Struthio camelus: one gene and its partner. The protein of the gene in region 2 interacts with the protein of the main gene of each other region in a biochemical or structural test. Links are inferred from orthologs where the notes say so. Each region holds a gene or a part of one and is shown on either strand. Other genes may lie near its edges.

Evidence for each region. The genes of interacting proteins can lie anywhere in the genome.
Region 1: the proteins of MAP1LC3C (region 2) and STK3 form a complex in vitro, tested with the Homo sapiens proteins (2 studies listed by BioGRID and IntAct). The link is inferred for Struthio camelus from reciprocal best matches to the Homo sapiens genes MAP1LC3C and STK3.

Annotation. Positions count from the first base shown.
Region 1 is NC_090943.1:147,187,434-147,195,371, reverse strand, and holds the start of STK3 (serine/threonine-protein kinase 3), read right to left. Parts: upstream 3,075-7,938; 5' UTR 2,930-3,074; coding exon 2,907-2,929; intron 2,867-2,906; exon of another isoform or gene 2,848-2,866; intron 2,686-2,847; exon of another isoform or gene 2,580-2,685; intron 2,423-2,579; exon of another isoform or gene 1,089-2,422; intron 1-1,088. UniProt on the Homo sapiens protein: Stress-activated, pro-apoptotic kinase which, following caspase-cleavage, enters the nucleus and induces chromatin condensation followed by internucleosomal DNA fragmentation.
Region 2 is NC_090944.1:97,616,987-97,623,531, forward strand, and holds MAP1LC3C (microtubule-associated proteins 1A/1B light chain 3C), read right to left. Parts: upstream 2,635-6,545; 5' UTR 2,562-2,634; coding exon 2,495-2,561; intron 2,407-2,494; coding exon 2,351-2,406; intron 2,192-2,350; coding exon 2,085-2,191; intron 1,046-2,084; coding exon 835-1,045; 3' UTR 503-834; downstream 1-502.

The DNA of each region.
Region 1 (7,938 bases), on a different chromosome or scaffold from region 2:
AATTAGAGATTCAGATGCAAGAAAACAATTCATGTCATTGCTGCAAAAATTCTTCACCTTTGAGGTAGGTGTTCTGCTTAAAAAAAAGTAAATGAAATGATTCTGAAAAGGACTTCTTACAAGTCTTTTGCTATTGTTGCAGTACATTGCTGTTAAAACCACTAACTTTCCTTGTCTAATCATTCCAATTTAAAAAAAAAAAAAAAAAAACACACACCTACAACACCCTGGCCTGCCACATTGCTATTTTCTGAAGAACCTGTCTTAAAGGTTTGCAAGCGTCTACACCAAATTTCTGTGAGGCAGTCCATTGGCATCAGTGGTATGTTCCTTCAGAGAGGAAGGAGAAATAAAAGTGTTCTATCAAGTACAAGAACTTTGGGATTCCAGGATCTTATGGAGCTTTGAAGCGTTCATCTGAAACTCTTGCTACCTCTAAATAAGCATCTTATGCTATATATACACCATATATATATATGACATATATAGGTCCCTCTCAGTAATTGATCCTGTAGATAGAAGACACAGTAAGTAAAGAAATCTGATGATCATATCTATTTTGCCAGGTAAACATGGTGCTTCTCTTGCACCACAGCACCCATGGCAGGTACTTAGACCAAAAAAAAAAAAAAAAAAAAAGATCACTCACAAAATAATCTGCATTCTTTCCAGACTTGTAGAACAAGCATGTAGCCTAGCAGAATAGTTGGCAACACCACAAAACACTTCAAAAACTGCAAAAGACAATAGACAAAAGGGATACACGGTGCAGGCTGTATACTGTTCCAGTGCTCCGTCACCCTCACAGTAAAGAAGTTAGTAGTTAAAGTTAGAAGAACTTAGTTAGTAAAGAAGCCCAGAGGTGAGGTCCAGAGGAGAAGAATAAAGAAAAACCTAAATATAGAATAAATATTAATTATATAAATAATAAATATAAAGAAAGAAGAATATAGAAAAGCCTAAAATACAATCCACTTTGCAGCACTGTCTCTCTTGGCAGTAGCATGCTCTCTCACTACAAGTGAGGTAGAGAAAGGCAGCCTCAATGCTTTAAATAGCGATACTGTCTCTGCTTGCTTTTCCCTTACCTTAAACACTGGTAAATTTAGTTGGCTGGAAACAGATAGTTTAATAGTTATATTCACCAAGAAGAAAATCAGGGCTGTTGTCCTTCAAATTTTACTACTTCTTGCAGTTCTTCTGCAACACTGCAGTATCTACTGTCCTCCTCAGCATAAAAACAGGAGCCAGTATCTACCAGAAAACAGTATGAGTCTTCATTTTCAAAGACAGTTTCTAGCTGTCATAATGGCAAAGAAAAGCTTGAGAAGCCTAAGATAAACATATCCAAAACGGTCAAATAGTTCAAAAAGCAAAAGACTGCTAAAGCCAGTACTTCTCAAAGTCTCATAACTAGGTCAACAAAGACTGCAGAAAGTATATTGGCAAGAAATATTGTCAATAACACCAGCATGAGTTCATTTGCAAAAATGGAATTTATCAATAGAATCTCATCTAGCTCCTTCCACATTGCGTTTATCTCCAAATTAAAAATTATCTCGTGCATTTCTTTACCACCCATGTTCCTCAATGTATTGGGGTCAGCATGTCCCTCTCAGGGCTAGGAGCTTCAATACACTGAAAACAAAACAGGGCCAAACATTATAAAGCTCATCATCAGTCCTTAAGGCAAATTAAACATATACTAGGTGTCTTCTCTCACATGTTCAACTTGGAGAAGACAAAATTTTATTCTCATATTGACCACAATGCAGCTTCTGTCGTTGCCACACTACCAGGCTTGCAAATCAGGAGCCAAAGATTAAGACACAAGAAATAAAGTAGGAAGTAAAAATGGATTTATTATCTTCCAGCATAAATTTATACCGTGCAGTTTCTAGATTTTTCACTAAATTAACAGGAAGCAAGAATTTAGAACTCTTTAGAGTTCTAAAGTGGTAAGAACACATGTATGCTATATAACTACTTTCAGTATACTATCTAACTACATCTAAGAAAGGACTCTTCCAGTTTAAGTTTATCCATGTAATTAAAGAAGAATAGTTTTGTGTATGAAGACCACAGTGCTATTTTTAAAGCAAAAGCTCAGGGGTTCACATCACTGCTTAAACTCAGAAGCAAAAACTTTTTCTTGCCCTGAGAAAGACTCATATTCTAAATATCCCAAAACATGACCGATTACTAAGAATGGTTATTCCAAACAGCAACGCATACACTGGGGGAAAGAAACTCGGTTTTGCCTCTTCCCACTCCCTGATTTGCAACTGCAAGTATGCAACTCCCACCCCCACAAACACCTCTCTACCAGCAAGACAGAAGGGCACTTTCTAACGCAGGAAGACGTGAACTGCTTCTACTGGTTTCTCCCTTAGACCTGAACTATGAAATAGCACGCAGACTTTAAGGCCGAAAAGGGCCGCTCTCTAGCTCCAGGCTCACTCACTCCCCGTTAAAGTTTTCCTCTTCTAACTCAAGTCAGCGCTCGCATCCCCCGAGGGTCGCTCGGACGCGTACTCAGGACGACGATTTCGGGAGCGCTACCGCGCGCTAGCAGTTACCCGGTGCGGAGCACCGCCGCGGCCCGCGGCGGCAGCCGGGCCGCCCCTCCGCGGCCCAGAGCCCGCTACAACGACGGGACGCCGCGCAGCCGCCGCGCCCCCATTGTCCCCGCGCCCCAGCCCGCCGAGGGGCCGAGCGGGGCCCGCGCCGCCGCCGCCGCCGGCCCTGCCCGCGCACCACGCCCCCTCCCAGCGCCCAGGGCTCCGCTCCCGCCGGGCCCCGCGCCGGGCCAAGGCCGCGCCCGGCCGCCTCCCCCCCGCCCCGTACCGACGGTACCGCCGCGCTCGCTTCCGGGAGGGGCAGGAGCGGCACGCGAGGGTCGTTACCTTTTGGGCGCTGCCTGCTCCATGATGGTGCCGCCGGCTCCCGGCGCCCCCGCCGCCGCCCGGCGCGGCTCGCGGACGGCCCTGGCCAGCGGCGGGCTGGGCCCGCGGAACTCCGCGCAACTTTCCGCCAAACTCGCTGGCCCTTTAAGTGGGGCTCGCGCCCTCCCTCGGCCGCGGCCGCTCCCGGCTTCTCAGCCAAACGCCACTACCGCTGCCTACCCGCCTGCCGGTGGGGGCCCGCCCTCTCGCCCCTCTCATTGGTTACAAACCGTACCATAACAAATGCTGATTGGCTGGGAAGGAAGTCACCCAGCATGGCAGCCAGCAGGAGACCGAGACTCCGCCCACCACGGGGCCGGGGAGGGAGGGTGCGCCTCACGGGAAGTAGCGGGCGGCATGGCGCCCGCGGGAGGGGGGAACCGACATGCAGGCGGCGGCGCATGCCGGCCCGAGGCCCCGCGCTCCCGGCATGCTCCGCGCGGCGGTGCCCCGCGGGGCGCGCCGGGAGACGTAGTCTTCCCCACGGCCTCCGCGGAGGGGCGGCAGGAGGGGCCGGCCCGGCCCGACCAGGCCAAACCGAGAGCCGGGCCGGAAAGCCGGGGGGCGAGGGACGGCCGTGTCCCCCCCACCCCAGCGCAGTCGCCTCACCGCCCGGCTCCGGGCAGCCGGCAGCCTGTGCTTTTCTTCCTCATCTGCGCAAGCGGACAGGGTTGCGGCCGAGGGGCAGCCGCAGGCCGGCGCGAAGCTGCTTCCACCCCCCCCCCCTCAGGAAGTTATATCCTTTCTTCTATGGGCAAGCGGCTCCCGAGCAGAGGGGGCAGGAAGGCCGTAGTCAGTCCCGCAGGGAGCGGGAGCCGCTTTCCGAGGCTGGCTCCCGGCTCACAGCACGGCTTGGAGATGAGTAACGCTGGCAGTCGACTGTTTTTAATGCCGAAGCATATGAGTTATCCTACGAAACTGTAGGAAGCAATTATGTAATTATTCAAGAGGGTTTAGGCTGCTGAGTACTGTGTGACAGTTATCTGCAATCTCTCCCCATTACAGCTTTAAATCTCATGCTGTTTACATCGTGAGTTCAGATGCTAACTTGCAGAGCATCCAAGTAGACCCAGTCAAGTCAATACAAGAAAAGCTTAAACGTTCAAGCCAGTTCCTGTATTAATGGAAGTAAAAAACTTGGGTAAGATCTGTAAAGGTACTGGGATATTCTAGCTTCACTTTAAGCAGATTTTAGATGCATAACAAAAATAAAACAGAAAAACCACACACTAGTTTCATCTCAATGTGCATTAGCAAGGAAATTTTAAGTGACTCAAGTCCCAGTGCTACCAAAACCCACCATTTTGCCCGAGTCAGTCCAATCCAGTTGACTCACTACAGTCAGGATACATGCACAGTGGCAAGATTAAATGAACCCATAAAACAAAGCACATGCCACCATATAACCTTTGCAGTTTGTTTGTTTTTTTAAATAAGTTAAAACTGCAATAGTACATTTTCCTTTACACAGCAGGTTAATGCAGAGCTCTTCAAATATCAGTTTATAAGCCCGAGTGGCCCACCAGCAGTACTTCCAAATATGTCCATACGACAGACAACTGTTTGCAGGAGACACCAAAAATGCACACAGGAACCAGCGGATACCTCAAACTCAGTACAGTACAAGTGTATTAGAAAATGGTGGGGAGGAACCCTGCAGGACTTCCACTCTCCCGTTTCTAGGTCAAGAGAGGATAGGTAGATACGTGGCTAGTTTCCAGCTTTGTTTTACAGGCTATTTGGCTATACCCACCTGACCAATTTTTTATTATTTACATTTCACCAGTTTCACCCAGTGAAGGGTAGCCTGACACCCCGTTTGGTTATGACACACCTGGAATGCAGGGACTGTCTCCACATCCTTTAATACACATCTTTAAGACAATATTTTGTTCTGACTATTTCGGAGAAGGCAGGATTTTTCCAGCCCCCCTTCCCTCTCAAGCCACAGTCATACAAAAATACGGTTACTATGTGGTAGTGGTCAGAGCAAGACACAAAGAAAGCGAGCCAACAGGTGTTCCACGTCACAGCCACACTTGTAGCTCTTTTTCTGGAAAAAGTTAAGCTGAACAGCCTAATCTTCCACTCCCCCTTCAACAGCAGTTGAAAGGAACAGGTCTAAAGAAAACTTCACAGATTCACAGAATGGTTGGGGTCAGAAGAGACCTCTGGAGATCATCTGACCCACCTGCTCAAGCAGGGTCACCTAAAGCACATTGCCCAGGACCATGTCTAGTCAGGTTTTGACTAGCTCCGAGGCTGGAGACTCCACAGCCTCCCTGGGCAACTTGCTCCTGTGTTCAACCACCCTCACACTGAAAAAGTTTCTTCTTATGTTTAAGTGGATTTTTCCAGTTTGTGCCCATTGCTTCTAGTCCTGTCACTGGGCACCAAGGAGAAGAGCCTGACCCTGTCCTCTTAACACCCTCCCCTTCAGATACTTATACACATTGATGAGATGCCCCCTGAGCCTTCTCTTCTGCAGGCTGAACAGGCCTAGTTCTCTCAGCCTCTCCTCATACAAGAGATACTCCAATTCCTTCCTCAGCTCCACGGCCCTTTGTTGGACTTGCTCCAGTAGCTCCATGTCTTTCTTGCACTGGGGAACCCAGAACTGGACATAGCACTGCAGAAGTGGTCTCATCAGTGCTGAGTAGATGGGAAGGATCACCTCCCTCAACCTGCTGACAATGCTCTGCCTAATGCAGCCCAGGAGGCTGTTGGCCTTCTTTGATGCAAGAGGAACCCCAGGTCCTTCTCTGCCAAGCAGCTTTCCAGCCAGTTGGCCCCAGCATGTACTGGTGAATGGGGTTATTCCTCCCTAGGGGCAGGACTTCACACTTCCCTTTGTTGAACTTCATGAGGTCCCTCTCTGCCCATTTCTCTAACCTACTGAGGTCTCTTAATGGGTGCATTCAGTCGGTCATCCAGGTCGTTAATGAAGAGGCTAAACAGTATCGGATCTAGTGTCAACCCCGGGGGGTCACCAGCAGGGACTGATCTTCAGCTGGACTTTGTGATGCTGATCACAACCCTCTGAGTCTGGCAGCTTGGCCAGTTTTCAGTCCACCTCACTGTCTACTTACCTGGCCCATACTTCTTCAGCTTTTCTGTGAGGTGTTATGGGAGACAGCTTTAGAGAGGTTTTTGACACCGAGATAAACAACATCCATTGGTCTCCCCTCACCCACCAAGGCAGTCATCTTGCCACAGAGGACTATCCAGTTGGTTAAGCACAATGCCCCCTTCATAAATCTCTTGTCCAAGGGATTTACTTGTCCAGCTTGTCCAAGAAAAGCAGATTTAGAGGTTAGCACCTCCAAGTGATTTACTACCGCAGTCTCCACTTCTACAAAATACCCTGTCCACCAGATAATTGAGGAAGAAGGGAACAGGAGCATCCTCCATCTCTACTGCTGAAGACAGAACAGTTTGAAGGAAGCCAAGATGACTAGAAAATAAATAGAAAAAGTGAGATAACCTGGCTTTATAGGCTAGTGAGGAGGGCAGTGCCAAAAAATATGGACTAGTTCCATGCCTTTCTCACTTGAACAAGGCACAACTGAAACTTCTGCAACTGCCAGAATGCTTTCATGCTGAAAATAAAATGTCAATAGGAAAACAGCATAGATGCTGTAGTATTTTTCAAGATGATTTTATTAATCTCTTGTCCTTCCAAATGGTATTTTTAGCCTGGAATAAATAACATCATCTCACCTTTCCCCTGCAATGTCAATTTGGGAACCTTGCTGTGAAATATAATACTGATTCAGTATTTATTACAATACTGTACCTAGCCACTAGCAAAGGAATTTTGAAAGGGAAAACAATCTCCTACTGTCTAATTCAGGCTTTCTAATAAAGGCAAGTCTAGATGTTCTGGAGGCATGAATATACTATTAGATTGCTTGTGTCTAGACAACATGGAGATGAGGCAGTTGCAGACATTCTGCCCTAGTATTCCCATGATTTCTTCCAAGAGTGGAACTATACTTGCTCACCTTCTTGGTGGTGTTGTAAGAAAAGGTTTGATGCAGAATTTACTAAGAATTTACTAAAATTCTTAAGACTGGATAAAAACTTACTGAATTACTCTTCTTCCTTTTAAGTAGCTCATCCACTTCACCATTTTACCAGCATGCATTCACTTCTCTGCAGAACTGGCATCAACATCAAGTACAGTTCCTTAGACAAAAGGATGAATGAAGACCGTACTTAGTATTTGAGTGCTCTAATTATTTTGTATTAAAATGTAATTTCGTAAGCAAATAGAAGAATTTATATTACAACAACTATAATTATTTATACTGCAATAGAATCAGGAATCATTATGGCCTGGAGAAGTATCGGTGCTGTATAACCACTAAGTCCAAGCCCCTAAATATAGGTACGAACAAATTCCAAAACGTCAATCCTACCTCAGTTAAGACAGAATTCATAATAAAGCACAAACTGAGAAGGACAAAAGTTACTATCTGCAAAGATCATGTCTGAATTTCTAGGAGGTATTACTAATAACAAAATATAAATTCCAAATGTGTACTTTACAAACATTCATAAACATCACATAAATAAGATGTGTTATATTAGGGACCTCGTACAGCTTCTTTGACAGCAAATAGAATAAACATCCACTTCAGAAGGTATCAGGTCAGGCTCATTTACACATCGTGCATTTTAACAAATAGGTTGGTGTTTTCTAGGAAACACCAGACTTAAATCTATAGGAAAACATTTACTCTTAAGTCATGAGCACCTTATGCTCTTCATCAAACAAAATATCCCAGCTCTTCATCACATGCCTGGTGCTTCTCGCAGCCCTGCCCCCTTCTCCACGTGCTTTCTGCCCCTTGGCTACCATAGCCTCCCAGGTCCCTCTCGGCTCCTCTGTGCTCCCTCCCTTTCCCCTATTTCTTCCTACAACAGTCCCACTCGTGCCCCCACACTGAACCCCACGATACCCTTAGTGCCCTCCGCTACCCCGCACGCG
Region 2 (6,545 bases):
AGGTGTGCCTCTAAGGGAAGGACAGACTACCCATCTATTTAGACCAGACTAGCAGAATTCAGTAGTAAGAGCAGACTCTTGAACAGTTGATTACACTAGAGTTCAAGTCATGCTATCTGCATTTTGGTTATACTGACTACCAATCAGTTTTGCATATTTAAACCAGAAGTTACTTTATCATAGACAATCACAGCAGTTTCAATAACACATGACAGTAGTAGTTTACTAGGTATTAAACTACACTGCGTTTGAACTCTGCTTTAGCACTAGTAGAGTCTGCTTTCTACTTGCAGGTCAGATACCAAGCTTGAACTGTTTATAAATATGGTTCTGCTCCTATGTGACCAAACTTAAGCTTCACTGTCCCATTCAGAAATGCACAGAGTTGCTGTACAAGCAATCCTTCATTTTTAAGGGGCACCGAGCTCAAAAGATTAAAGTTCATAGAATAATTCTGGTAGTCTTCTACAGTTTTTCCTCTAGAGTAACACTAACATTCAACCCAATATTTAAAAGTGTCTTTATTTTACTCTTAGGCTTAGGCTTTAAGGACATCTTAAAAAGCAGTTACAAAACAAAGGTTGGTATTGCAAAGAAAAGTGGAGGTGCAGTTTCAAAAACCTTTAGTGTCTTTAAATATAAAATATATATCCAAACTATTATCTAGTAGAGTGTACCACCATTTCTGCCTCAAGCTGGTCCTGCTGATCTCTGGGTCATTACTCCCCAGTACAGAGCTCAAGAACTCGTATTAGAAGGAGCATCTCCAAGCTTCATGTCACTGGCGTGATTCATAGCACAGCTGCTTAGCCACAGCAAGTGGACACCACCACCTTAGGTTTTTTGAAGGCATTCCATAGTTTTCCCTTGAGCAGCGGGTAAGAGGCATCCAAACATCTCCTGGGAAGCATATGTCATATACACAAAGCCATCTTCATCTTTGTAGTCCCTGTACACTTCTGCCATTGTCAGAGACATACTGGCTAGGCTTTTGTTGTTCACCAGCAGGTAGAAAGCTTGTGTAGCAGTTAAAGCCATTCTGCTTCTAAGTTAAGATGGAAGAAGGAAAAAGAGGATTAAGTATTAGCAAATTCGAGAAGGTTTCATTGTTAGTCCTTGAAATACATTACACAGACCAGTAACATGAACTACATCTAAGAAACACTGTATAAAGTCCTTTGTGGTTTAACATCTCTCATCAGCAGGAAGTTAGCTGTAGGTTTGGAAGCTAGAAGGCTTATGCTCTGAGGAGGAGGAGGCTTAAATCAAATTGTTAAACCATGACTGCTACTGAGTCTAGCCTTTGTTCCCAGTTACTGAAGAGAAGCACTGAGTGGAAACCAAAAGCTTCTGTAGCATTGCTATAATGAAATATTTCAGCATACTCTGAAATCCTAGCTATTTTAACATTTCAGTCTTTGAAAGAGGAGTCCTCCTCAGAGCTGCTTAATATGAGGATCAGGACCCCAAGTTGTGCATCTTTTGTAGAAGTTCAGATATCTAGAAAGCTCTTCTGTACTTTACAGAAACACCATATAAAAGCTATGTGATTTTCAGCACTTTGCCAGAGACAGAGATTTCTTCCCTATAGTGTTTTTGTGAAGAGCAATTTAGAAACATTAGAGCTCATGCCGCTCACACCTGTGAACTGTTATAAGCTTGAGCAAATCCAGTAAGCTACAGTAAAAAAAAAAGCAAGCCAACAACAGAGCAAGGAGGAGAACAGAACCATAGAGCTGTAGTAGCACTTGTAAGTTCTTCAAATAGAGACAGAGCAAAACAGGAGTCTGATACAATCCTTATGCCCTACAGTTAAGAGGGAAGGCTTTATACATCCAAAAGCATAGACCAGGTTCTTCCCCAAATCCACCTGAGAAAATATCTGTGGACTTTCTTCATACTCCTGCAGGAGAAGGAAGCCATTACAGAGACCTTTATGCTTTCCTCCAATACAAAGAAAGTAAATAAGTTTTTTTACAGCAGAGTGCTAAAAAAATCTGCTTGAAGACCTGCCACAGAACCCAGGAGCAGCCCCCAGCCCCACCTACGTAGTGCCACTTGCTAGCCAGGTGTTCACAACTTACCTAATGATGGTTATAAACTGTGTCATGGTCAGCTCCTCAGGAACAAGAAACTTGGTTTTGTCCAAGAGAGGAAGGTATTTTTCCTTATGGTACCTTTCAACAATCACCTGTTTTAATTAGAGTCACACTCAGAAAAATCCCTAAAATATTTAGTTCCTTTTCCCCCTCCTCCCTACCAGCATTTAAGAAAAAAAAAAGTTTTCAGCATTTCTCTTAAAAAAAAAAAAACCAACAACAACCTTTGCTAGCAAAACAGAGAGATTTACCGGGATTTTTGTTGGGAACTTCGCCCGGATCCCAGCGACTTCTTCCAGCCTAGTCGCTGCGCAAGAGAGAAAACGAGCGTTACGCGTGTGCGCAGCCCCCAGCGCCCCGCGCAGGCCCCCCGGCGCCCCCAGCTCTCCCCTTACCGAAGCTCTTCCGCAGCTTGAAGGGCCGGGAGGGGGCCGGGCCCCCGGGCGCCGCCGTCGCCTGCATGCTCCGCGCAAGCTCCGCGCTCCCGCCGGCAGCGCCGCGCTGCGCCGCCCCGCGCCTCTTATGCGGCCGCGGCGGCACCGCCCCGGCTCCGCGGCCCCCCGGCCCTCCGGCCCCCCGGCCGGGAGGGGGGCGGGGGGCTGCGAGCGGGGAAGGGCTCCTCTGGCCGTGATTTCGCTGCCCCGCTCAGGTCGCGCTGCCTCCTGCTGTCAGCCCCCTTAGCCAGGGCTTGTTTGTCAGAGCAGCTGTCCTGCCAGGTTCTCCACGCTGCCGAGGCATCTCGCCTCTTTTGGCACGTTTTCCTCTCCCGACTCCCCCGTCCCCGCGCGTTTCAGGCCAGCGCCTTCAGGAAGGAGCAGGGTGAGCTCAGGAGGGGCAGCCCGTCCCCCTCTTTGCCGGCCCCGCCACGTCTCGCGTCCTTGGGACACTCAGCTACGTGGGAGCCCCGAAACTGGGGAGCGGTGCTGTTTTTCTGTGTCCTTCACTATGAAATGTCTGTGAGGAGACGTCTTTGCCTGCCGGAGGGAAAGCTGCCGCCCTGCTATACAGTTCAGGTGTACAGCCAGACCTGCAAAAAGAGCGGGGTGCGAACCCCCTGCCGACAGGTGTTTGTGAACCTGCCTCTCCACTCTGTCATAGCAGCGTGCTGCTTATTCCTCACTTTCTTTGGTCTAAACTGCCCGAACTGGAAGATGCCGAGGCGCACAAGGCAGCAGGATGCTTTGTGAGGGGACTTTGACTACCCCTCAGGAAGCCCGCAGCTCAGGAGTGGACCATCTCTGTCCCGTTTCCCTTTTCAGATGGCCAATCTTCTGTCAGGTCAGTTACCTTCTTCATACTTACAAACTGCTTTCAAACTATTTCTTTGGGTTTAGATTGACGTTTTTCATATCTCCAGGTTACCAAACTGCTTATTTTCTGAGTAACCTGGGAAATGACTTTTAACATTGGTTTTGTCTCTACAGCATGATCATGATTTTAATGGTTTTCAAATAGACTTCAGGTCCATCTATTTGCTGAATAAGATGAGGCGCCTTACCTGCTTTTTGGTTTGCTTGCATACCTGCTATTACTTCAGCTGTCAAGATGGTTTCACAGCCAAACATGGCTCAGCAAGGAGTAAAGTTATCTGAAGACTGGTTGTTAACTACGTAAGTCATCTCAGTAAATGGTTACGACTGATCCCCATTACTCAGTTTGTTTTGCTTGTGCCTTTTTAATATAGTAGTTGCATTTTATTCAATCTATCAAGCTAAGAGCAACCCGAAGTTGCTAAGGTTCATGTGTTACTGGGTTTGGCTGCTTTTTCAAGGCAGAATCAGTAACTGTCACCTCCATACTTTTATTTCCAGTCTTGCACTATTTCCTGCTGCAACTAATTTTTCTGTTCCTAGAATTTTCTGATTATAGGAGAACCTCAGTTTTTATTTGAAAATAAATTTAGGCTTGTGAACGCATAATCACAGTAAAAAGTGCTCTGCAACACCGAAGATGCCCTCAAGATTCAGCAAACAGAATATAATTTTGAAAAGGAACATCGCTATTAAAATGTGTGCTCACTATGTATTTATATGTTATGATTTTCAACCAGCCTTTCAGAATCGTTTCCAGTGGCTGAAGTTGCTAGTGCTGCTGAGCTGTCTTTCTCTCCTGGTGGGGAAGCGAAGGGCTTTAGTCACAGCACCAGCTCCCCCATGTGGCGCTGCGCATTTAATTGTGCAGAGAAGACGAGATCCTTGCTTGGAAGAGTTTATGAGCAAGACCTCTGAACTCGGAGAGAGGACTTGAGCCCACACTGGAACGGTCTGGAAACAGCTGCTCCTCACGGGCAGACCTCTGCATCTGTGCAGACAAGTTCAGGGATTTGCTTACAGTACTGCGTCTGATTTCAGAGATGGGAAATGTGCTCAGTACAGGGACCAGCTCTTCCAAGCACTGCTATGGCTCTGCTCAGTAATCTGCTTCTTAGCACTTGCCCATTCTGTCACCGCAGAAAGAAAAGTGTGATCTTATTGCTCTGTTTCTTCACCCAGCAACCGTGTGAATTGCTCTCAAGTAGTGTAGTGAAGAAGTTGGCACCTCAGTGCCTTAGCAGTCTTTTAAAATCTTGCATTTCATTGTACTAAAATGGTTCCAGTGTGTGCAGACAGGAAGGAACATACCACACCGGTGCTCTGCTTTCTGTGCTGCCTCTCACTGCATTTGAAGTACAAAAAAGTGTTTCTGTCCAGGCCTTGCTTCCAGTGAGAAGAAATTTCTTTCCATAACCATAAGCAGCTGCTAGTGAGAAAACTGAATAGCTGATAGGAAAGGGAGCCAAAGATGGAGAATTTCTGCTGAAGCTGGTGAACAGTCATGAATCTAAGAATGAGCACAGATGCAGGCTTTAGGCAGCGTGTGCCCTAAGTTACATTATCTGGAAGCAGAGAGCAGGGGAGGTCTAGGTGTGTCGACATGGCAGCTGCGCTCACTCTTGTATTGAATAATCCTGCTTCAGACCTAAATGTGGAATTTATTCCTCCTTCTCTGCTTTCCCTTAGAAGTTTTTCTCAGATGCACAAAATTAATGAACGGGTAGAGCAATTTTGCAGAGAGTGGAATACTCAGAGGTCCATACTGGAGCAGAAACAGAAGAAGGATCAAAAGACATTGTTGCTCTATTTTTACCTGCTCGAATGCCCAAAGACTTCACTCATGAGTCCTGTAAGTCCCTGAATATTAAAGCACAAGTTTGGATATGTGTATCTTATCTATTCTACTTTCATTGCCACACTTACAGACTTGTCCTAAGTCCCAGGTTTTCGGCTGTGTAACTGAATTGTGATATATCCATTGTCTCTGTTTAGAATAAAGTGATCCCGTTTTAGTGGATCTAATCATATACACAATCTGGCTGAAAATAAGTTTGCATAAGAGCAGCAAGGAAACAGCAGGTCCTTTGCATTATCCCATTCCAGCTGAAGGCCCTAACAAAACTCGTCACACAGCAGGGATGTGATTTCGTTAGGGAATTACTCTGCCTGAGCGGGAGCGTGCAGGGTGTCAGATACCTGAGGATTCTGCAGAGTTTTAGTTTCAGTACGAACCAGCGAGCTCCTGTGAAAGACAGAACTACAGGGCATGAAGAGAGGCTGAAATAAGGTGGTAGGAAAGGCTAAACAATTTGGCATGTCCCAGAGGTGTTGCTGGAGTCTGAATATGTGAAACTGCCAGAGGGGAGAAGTGAGTCAGCTAATGACTGAGCAAATGACTGAGAGCTTTGCTTCCTGACCAAGTGAGGGGGTGCTTGTTTCATTGGCTTCCTAGTAAGTGTGAGCTTTCTATCCTAAAATTTGACTGCTTTGCCTGCCAATTCAGTTTAGTGCTTTCACGTGTTTTCACTGCTTACCTTGTCTCTTGTATTTTTTCACCCCAACTTCCTGAGTTTTTTGAAACCTGAGTAGGGAAGCAGAGTGAGAGTGATGAACACACTCTAATGCATGGCCTTTTTCTTAGTCTGTGCTGTTTAATTCATGCTCGCGTTGTTCAGAAAAAGGTCTTTATTTGGGTTAGACAAAATCCCTGAAAAGCTGGAAAAAGTACATTTCCCCAAATTGTTCCTGTTTGTTATTCATCTGTCATTCAAAACGTATGGACCCCTATGGATATGCAAGTCCCACTGTGCTAAGAGGAATATAAGCAGCTTAGAAGAAATGACCCCTCTCTAAAGAACTTAAAATCTGAATTTCCCAGATGAGATGAAATGGGATAGTTTTATGGCAGCTCCAAGAATCCAAGATGCAAAGAACTTGTGCAACAGTTTGCATACAATTTCATAAGAAGGCTGTGGCACAACAGATACCCAGTTCTAAGTTCTTGGAGTACAAATGCATTGAGCTGATCACAGGACCACCCTGCCTTTCAGGGAATTAAAAAAAAATCATTAAAAAACAAGCAGACAAATAAACTTCAGGGTTTTGTATGTGATTGCTTTTAAAAGCTATAAAA